2 linked regions of the Callithrix jacchus genome follow. The protein of the gene in region 1 binds, or shares a complex with, the protein of each later gene. Links are inferred from orthologs where the notes say so. Each region holds a gene or a part of one and is shown on either strand. Other genes may lie near its edges. The genes, in order: TLR4 and LY96.

What was found.
Region 2: the proteins of TLR4 (region 1) and LY96 are in contact, whole or in part, in a crystal structure (PDB 4G8A), measured with the Homo sapiens proteins. The link is inferred for Callithrix jacchus from reciprocal best matches to the Homo sapiens genes TLR4 and LY96. Residues at the interface, in NP_612564.1 of Homo sapiens: Gln39, Met41, Glu42, Asp60, Ser62, Phe63, Asp84, Ser86, Arg87, Thr110, Gly111, Val132, Val134, Glu135, Asn156, His159, Ser183, Ser184, Asp209, Leu212, Arg234, Val259, Glu262, Phe263, Arg264, Asn265, Glu266, Arg289, Ala291, Tyr292; in NP_056179.4 of Homo sapiens: Met40, Tyr42, Ile66, Pro67, Arg68, Arg96, Ser98, Asp99, Asp100, Asp101, Tyr102, Ser103, Phe104, Arg106, Leu108, Lys109, Gly110, Glu111, Thr112, Thr115, Thr116, Ile117.

The regions. Positions count from the first base shown.
Region 1 is NC_133502.1:166,093,901-166,098,424, forward strand, and holds the end of TLR4 (toll-like receptor 4), read left to right. Parts: coding exon 1-824; 3' UTR 825-3,988; downstream 3,989-4,524.
Region 2 is NC_133517.1:52,224,667-52,229,035, reverse strand, and holds the start of LY96 (lymphocyte antigen 96), read left to right. Parts: upstream 1-1,390; 5' UTR 1,391-1,476; coding exon 1,477-1,588; intron 1,589-4,369. UniProt on the Homo sapiens protein: Binds bacterial lipopolysaccharide (LPS). Cooperates with TLR4 in the innate immune response to bacterial lipopolysaccharide (LPS), and with TLR2 in the response to cell wall components from Gram-positive and Gram-negative bacteria.

The sequences.
Region 1 (4,524 bases):
CCAAAAATCAGGAACTACAGCGTTTTCCAAGTAGTCTAGCTTTCCTAAATCTTACTCAAAATGACTTTGCTTGTACTTGTGAACACCAGAGTTTCCTGCAGTGGATCAAGGACCAGAGGCGGCTCTTGGTGAAAGTTGAACAAATGGAATGTGCATCTCCTTTAAATAGGAAGGGCATACCTGTGCTGAGTTTGAATATCACCTGTCAGATGAGTAAGACCATCATTGGTGTGTCAGTGCTCAGTGTGTTTGTGGTATCTGTTGTAGCACTTTTGGTCTATAAGTTCTATTTTCACCTGATGCTTCTTGCTGGCTGCATAAAGTATGGTAGAGGTGAAAACACCTATGATGCCTTTGTTATCTACTCAAGCCAGGATGAGGACTGGGTAAGGAATGAACTAGTAAAGAATTTAGAAGAAGGGGTGCCTCCCTTTCATCTCTGCCTTCACTACAGAGACTTTATTCCTGGTGTGGCCATTGCTGCCAACATCATCCATGAAGGTTTCCATAAAAGCCGAAAGGTGATTGTTGTGGTATCCCAGCACTTCATCCAGAGCCGCTGGTGTATCTTTGAATATGAGATTGCTCAGACCTGGCAGTTTCTGAGCAGTCGTGCTGGTATCATCTTCATTGTCCTGCAGAAGGTGGAGAAGTCCCTGCTCAGGCAGCAGGTGGAGCTGTACCGCCTTCTCAGCAGGAACACTTACCTGGAATGGGAGGACAGTGTCCTGGGGAGGCACATCTTCTGGAGACGACTCAGAAAAGCCCTGCTAAATGGTAGACCGTGGAGTCCAGAAGGAGCAGTGGGTGCAGGATGCAATTAGCAAGAAGCAATAACTATCTGAAGAGGGAAAAAACAAAAACCAACTTCTGAGGCATTTCTTGCCCAGCTGGGCCCAACACTTGTTAAGTTAACAAGTATTAAATGCTGTCTCATGCCAGGCATTATGCTAAGGCCAAGTAATTCCATGGTTCACAAGATACATGGGGATGCTAATCTCATGGTGCCTCCAGTGCAGAGGGAATAAATGCTACACTAAAATACAGAGCGTTCCAGGTGGGCATTTCAACCAAGTCAGCCAAGGAACCCATGACAGAGAAAGTCATTTCAACTCTTACCTCATCAAGTTGAATAAGGACAGAGAAAGCAGAAAGAGGCATTGTTCTTCTCCTGAGTCTTTTGAATGGAAATTACATTATATATTATGTCATAGCCGTCATAAAACCATTTTGGTAGTTTTGACTGAACTGGGTGTTCACTTTTTCCTTTTCCATTGAATTTAAACTCTACTTGATGACTCATTGGGCTGGTGATGCAAGATGCACCTTCCATTTTAAATCAGTTTCCTTACAGAGGTTAAAGCTTAGTGGCTAATTCCTAAGGAGACCTGATTAACACATGCTCACAATCATCCTCATCATTCTTGAGACTGCTCTGTTTTTCAACTAATAACCCCTAATATATTTTTATTTTTATATGTCCAGTTCTTATTTTTTTTAAGGTAACTTCATATTTTTATTTGTCTCTAAGAGCATGATTTCCAGCCACAGTTTATTATTACAAGTCAAAATCTGAAGATTATTAATAGCATAACTTCCAAATACAATTTTAATTTAAAGGAACATTGTATGTTCTGCATATGTACACCAAAACCTAAAATGCAATAAAAATAAATAAATAAATTAATTAATTTTAAAAACTACACTTAATATACCCCACTTAAACACACAATATATTCCAGTTCTTATTTTTTAATGTCTTTAAGCCAATATCATAAATAAGGTTGTTCAGGATGTGCTTTAAATATCCATATTTATTTAACCACCATTTTTTAAGGAAGTATATAAAGTACACTCTGTCACTTTGTCACTCAATATCATTTCAAAGTTATTGTCTCCTAAGTTATGACTGTCATGAAAGCAGTGTTGAAATAATTTCTATAAGGGGGTACTTTTTTTAAACAGGGAAAGAAAATGTCCACTTTCTGGTCATATCATGGACAATTTGGGCAAGAAAGGAAGTGGGGTGACCTCAGGAGGTCACCTGTTCTTGATTCCAGAAACGTATGGGCTTATACACTTGGGGTGACCCCATAAAATGAGTTGCAGCAGAAATTTTTTTTTTCAGAAAAATTGATGTTTAATGGACCTCTGAATCTCTTCAGGGAGATATGGAGGGCTGGGATCCCTCCCCTGCACCCTCCCCACTGCCAGGGGAACTACTTGAGAAGGGATTCAATGCAGGTAGTACATACATTTCTGCTTCCTGTTGGGCACTGCTCCCTGACCACATTTTGGGAAGAGTGGATGCTATCATTGAGAAAACAATGTGTCTGAGATTAATGGGGTTCATTCATATAAAGGGAGTTCCCAGAAAAAAATGTTCATCCAGCCTCCCCAGAAACAGAATATTCAAGAAAAGGACAATGAGGACATCATCAGGAAAATGAAAATAAAAACCGCAATGAGATATCACCTTATACCAGGTAGAATGGCTGCTATAAAAATAAAGGGTCATCAAGGATATAGAGAAATTGGAACCCTTCTACATTGTTGGAGGGAATGTAAAATGGTGTACCCATTATGAAAAACACTATGGAGGTTTCTAAAAAATTAAAAATAAAACTACTCTGTGATCCAGCAACCTCACTTCTGTGTATATACCCAAAATAATTGAAATCAAAATTTCAAGGAAATATTTACCTTCCCATGTTCATTGCAGCACTTTTCACAATCACTGTTTCCAAAGTTATGGAAACAACCCAAATATCCATTGAAAAATAAATGGACAAAGAAAATGTGCACATACATATAATGGGATCTTATTCAGCCTACAAAAAAGAGGGAATCCTGCCATTTATGACATCATGGATAAACCTGGAGGTCATTATGCTATGTAAAGTAAGCAAGTAACAGAAAGACAAATACTGCCTGATTTCACTTGTATGAGATACTAAAATAGTCAAACCCAAAGAAGCAGTGAATAGAACAGTGGTTCCTGGGGAAAAGGAGCAAGGGAGAAATGAAGAAATAGGGAGTTGTCTAATTGGTATAAAATTACAGTATGCAAGATGAATTAGCCCTGAAGATCAGCTGTATAGCAGAGTTCCTATAATGCATAATACTGTATTATGCACTTAAAATTTTTCTAAGAGGATAGATCGCATGAAGTATATTTACCATATGTACTTTTGGTAATATATGGTATATATTACCATATATTTGGTATATATTTCCATTACACAAGGAAACTTTTGGAGGTGATGGATATATTTATCACCTTGATTATGGTGATGGTTTCACAGGTATATGACTATGTCTAAACTCATCAAATTGAATATATTAAATATATGAAGTTTTGTAATATCAACTATATCTGAATGAAACTATAAAAAAGGAAAGACAACAAAACTCAGTTGTCAAAACTGCAACTATGAGAACACTCAGAAGTGTGATTTTTTACTGAGTGTGTCAGACTGTGTTTTGTTTGAGCATGTCTAGGGTGGTTGAACATCCCTGGATGTGTTTCTATGTCTCATGTACTAGTGAAAGAGAATGTATGCATTTGAACAACATATACCTTTGAACAACATATACCAGTGTGTCCCTATCAGGGTTGTGTGTATTTGAAAGTATGTGTGTCTGTATGATCATATCTGTATAGAGGAGAGTGTGATTATACCTTTTGAAGAATAGATGCATTTCAAGTAGATGTCTAAGGCTGTTTAAGATGGGTTCCCTACTCTTGTGGTGCTTGTACAGTAGTCTCACCTTATTCCTTATCCTTGGTGGATATGTTCTTAGACTTCAAGTGGATCTTTGAGATCCCAGATGGTACCAAACCCCATATATGCAGTAGTTTTTCCTATACACAAATACCTAAGGTAAAGTTCATTTTATGAATTAGGCACAGTAAGAGATTAACAACAACTAATGATAAATTGAATAATTGTAATAACGTTTTATAATAAATGTTACACGAATGTGATCTCTTTCTCTCTCGCTGTCTCTCTCAAAACGTCTTATTGAACTGTACTCACCTACTTTCAGACCATGACTGACCATGAGTAACTGAAACCTGGGAAAGTGAAACTGTGGATAACGAAGGAACTAACATACATACATACATCATTGTTTGTCTATAGATGTATGCATCAATTTCTTAGTATGCTTGAAAATGTGTGATTTTGTGTATATCTGTGCTACTTTTAAGTGCAGTTCTATTCATATTTGAATATGAATTATGTATATGTGTGTTTATTCAAGCAAATATACAGGGCTTTGAGAAGGAAGATCAACATACAACTTGGAGTATTTCCTACATACAAAGCTGACATTGGCCTACTTCCTGTCAGTTCCTTCTCCTCGATGGAAATTCTAGAAATGGCAGGTGAAGTGGACAAGAAGGGAAGTAAATTATATGCATAGAACAGAAGGAGAAGAAAGAGTAAAGTCGTGTCTCAGATAGCCTCTTTGTAGCCCTTTAAACCCTCTGGGTTTAAGAGGGATGAAGGGTGGAATAAG
Region 2 (4,369 bases), on another chromosome or scaffold:
CAGTCTGGTCTTGAACTCCTGACTTCAAGTGATCCACCTGCCTTGGTCTCCCAAAATGCTGGAATTACAGGTATAAGCCACTGTGCCTGGCTGATAATTTGTTTTATAAAGCAGGAGTCCCCATTCCCTGGGGGTCATGGATCAGTACCTGTTAGGAATCTGACTGTGGTGTGTTAGGAACCAAGCTGCACAGCAGATGGTGAGCAGCAGGTGAGCAAGCATTACCACCTGAGCTCCAGTTCCTGTCAGATCAGCAGAGGCATTAGATTCCCATGGGAGCAGGAACCTTATTATGAAGTCTGCATGTGGGGGATCTAGGTTGCATGCTCCTTATGAGAATCTAATGCCTGATGATCTAAGGTGGAACAGTTTCACCCCGAAACCATTCCTCTGCATCTCCTCAGTCTGCGGAAAAATTGTCTTCTATGAAACTGGTCTCTGAGACCAAAATTGTTGGACCCTGCTGGTATACAGAGCTGTGGGAGAGAAGAGCAATGCAGAGGGAAAAGGAGCGCCTGTCTGTTGAGACTTTCAGGGGGACCTACGGACTGGTTTTGTTACTGTTGACTGAGAAGTGTCTTGTTTATTATTATTTTTTTAATTTAATTTTTTTTTTTTTTTTTGAGATGGAGTTTCACTGTTGTTACCCAGACTGGAGTGCAATGGCATGATCTCAGCTCACCACAACCTCCGCCTTCTGGGTTCAAGCAATTCTCCTGCCTCAGCCTCCCGAGTAGCTGGGACTACAGGTGTGCACCACCGTGCCCAGCTAATTTTTGTATTTTTAGTAGAGTCGGGGTTTTACCTTGTTGACCAGGATGGTCTCGATCTCTTCATCTTGTGATCCAACCACCTCAGCCTCCCAAAGTGCTGGGATTATAGGCATGAGCCACTGCGCCTGGCCAATTTAAAACATTTTTTAAGAAATGGAGTCTTGCTCTGTCGCCCAGGCTGGAGTGCAGTGGTGCCATCTTGGCTCAGTGCAACCTCCGCCTGTCAGGTTCACGTGATTTTCTTGCCTCAGCCTCCTGAGTAGCTGGGAATACAGGTGTGCGCCACCACACCTGGCTAATTTTTGTATTTTTAGTAGAGATGGAATTTCACCAGGTTAGCCAGGATGGTCTTGAACTCCTGACCTCAAGTGATCCATCTACCTCAGCCTCCCAAAATGCTGAGATTACAGGTGTGTGCCACCGCGTCTGGCCAAAGTGTCTTGTTTTCTTTTTAAAACTTTGATCACTCTCATTTACATTAAACTTTGGAAAAGAGTACATTCTGAATAGTTTTACTCTCTTACCTTGCAGAAAGTGCTCAAATGTTAAACACACACACACACACACAAAGAGGAAACAGTTGGACAGGAACTCAGAAATCACGTGACTGATGACTAAGTTAAATCTTTTCTGCTTACTGAAAAGGAAGAGTCTGATGATTACTGATCCTCTTGTATTTGTAAAGTTTTGAAGACCCTGAATCATGCTGCCATTTATAATTTTTTCCACCCTATTTTCTTCCATGTTTACTGAAGCTCAGAAGCAGCACTGGATCTGCAACTCCTCCGATGCAAGTATTTCATACACCTACTGTGGTAAGTAAAACATCAACAACAAATAATTGTAGCATCAACTATGTTGCGGCTACGTTTTCACAAGATCTTTACACTGTTGTGGCTGGAACACAGGAAATGCCAGTGTGTTCCAGCTGCTGTGGGCAGACGCTGCCAGCAGGAAAAGCAATCACTGGCAGCTGCCCCGTGAGAATCTTCTCGACACCTCCCAGAGCTCGCTGTGGTTGACCTTCAAATGCTTCTGTTGTTCCCTGCGTCATCTATCTCTATGCTGAGCCCAGTTTTGGGTTCTGCCCAGTTTCAGTAGAACCGTCTGCTTCTAAGCTTTCGCCTCAGCCTCAATCCGTACTAGTTCTTCCTGAGATGGTAGAGCAATCCCAGCTGCTTCCTGGAGTTGATTTCTGCTTCAAGTTGTGACTTTTGAGGGCTCTTAGAATCATCTCCCTAACGATGTAAGCCTGGTTCTGTCCTTAGCTGTGTGGCCTTAAGCAAAGTACTCCAGCTGTTTTAGCTCTAAAGCGAAAGTGATTTTGAGTCTACTTGATCAGGGTGTTGTGAGGTGAAGTTTTTTAGCATAGGGTCAACATGGAGTCAATACTACTAATTTCTTTTTTTTGAGTAAGCCATACCCTAATGCTATTCACTGGTTCTATGACTGTCTCCTGCCCCAGCTGCTCATTAGCAAACGTCCTCTGGTCTGAAGGCACAGTGTCAGGCCTGACAGCTGTTTTGGTTTGGTACTTTCCACTGCGCTGCCCTTTTCCACCCACTAGCAATATCTGGAAGGTTTAAAGTGATGCTTCCCAAAATACCAGTTCTTTGAGATTCTTTTGGGAAAATAGGATCTATGACCTAGTCATCCGTGAGAGATTTACAGATGTACTTTGAGTTCTGAGTTCTGCAATAAAGGCACTTGTTTAACCACAACATATTCAATTCCATTTGTTTTTTGTTTGTTTTTTAGTCTGGATTGTATGCTAACTGTCTTGAAATCATGCTCTAGCCAATGCTGATGTAAAGGGACTTTCGGGGAATTAGGATAATTATCACATATAAGGAGGAGACTTAGGAGTGCGGCCAGTCACACACCGTGGCCCTTCTCCTCCTGGTGGCTTGCACTGAATTCCCTCTCAATGTATCTCTAAAATCTCTCCATGCTACAAGATCTGTTTGCATTCCCCTCTTAGAGCAAGGCTCCTACTCTACACGGCCCCTACTTTCCTCTCCCTCTTTGGCCCTTTTGTACCATGTGTGGATTATGCCACTCTTTTTTTTTTTTTTTTGAGATGGAGTCTCACCCTGTCACTCAGGCTGGAGTGCAGTGGCGTGATCTCCGCTCACTGCAACCTCTGCCTCCAGGGTTCAAGTAATTCTCCTGACTCAGCCTTCTGAGAAGGTGGGACTACAGATATGTGCCACCGTGCCTGGCTAATTTTTGTACTTTCAGTTGAGTCAGCATTTCACCATGTTGGCCAGGCTGGCTCGAACTCCTGACCTTGTGATCTGCCCACCTCAGCCTCCCAAAGTGCTGGGATTATAGGCGTGACCCACTGTGCCTGGCTGGATTATGCCATTCTTTATATGGTCGTTATGGCTATAACATTTTGTATTATTATTTAGCTTTTAATCTTTCTTAACAATAACAATTTGTCTTTTTAAAAAATTTCACATTTTATCTTATTTATTATTGAGACAGGGTTTTGCTGTGTCATGCAGGCTGGAGCAAGTGGCTTGATCTCCACTCACTGCAACCTCCATCTCCCTGGCTCAAGCCATCCTCCCAGCTCAACCTTCCAAGTAGCTAAGGCTACAGGCACGTGCCACCACCCTTGGCTAATTATTAATTATTATTATTATTGTTACTTTTGAGTTTCACTCTTGTTGCCCAGGCTAGAGTGCAATGGCGCGATCTTGGCTCATCTCAACAACCACCTCCTTGGTTCAAGTGATTCTCTTGCCTCAGCTTCCCGAGTAGCTGAGATCATAGGTGCCTGCCACCACGTCTGGCTAATTTTTGTGTTTTTAGTAGAGATGGGGTTTTGCCATGTTGGCCAGGCTGGCCTCAAACTCCTGACCTTAGGTGATCTGCCTACCTTGGCCTCCCAAAGTGCTGGGATTACAGATGTGAGCCACTGCACCTGGCCTAAGATTTCACATTTTAATCATTTTTGAGTGTTTGACTCAATTGTATTAAGTATATTCAGATTGCTGTGAAACCACAACCACTGGTGTGTCTTTTGATTTAACTTTCTAATTTTTTTTTTTTTGAGACAGAGTCTCACTCTGTCAACTAGGCCGGAATGCAGTGGTATGATCTCAGCTCACTGCAACCTCTGCCTCCTGGGTTCAAGCAGTTCTCATGCCTCAACCTCCTGAATAGCTGGGATTACAGGCGTGCGCCACCATGCACGGCTAATTTGATTTGACTTACTGAAGGAAGAGCTTACCTCTTCCTCTCTGAGAAATCCTATCCTGCTACCCACTGACAAAAAGACTGTGGCAAGCCACTGGGGTACACATCTACAGCAAGATGCTGCTTGCTGCCATCCCCACTGCCATGTGACTGTCTTCTTGGCCTGAGAGAAACCATCCTGCACGGCCGAAAATGCATTACCTGTGGGAAGCACTGACTTTTCTAGGTACTATTGTGAAGGTGTTGGTGACAACAACCTCTAATTCACTGTAAGGATGATTTCCATGAAAAAGAATAGATAAATTTCCATTTGGCCAAGCTGCTGGGCACATAAGTGTATTTTTTTTTTTTTTTTTTTTTTGAAGTCAGGGTCTTGCTCTGTCACCAAG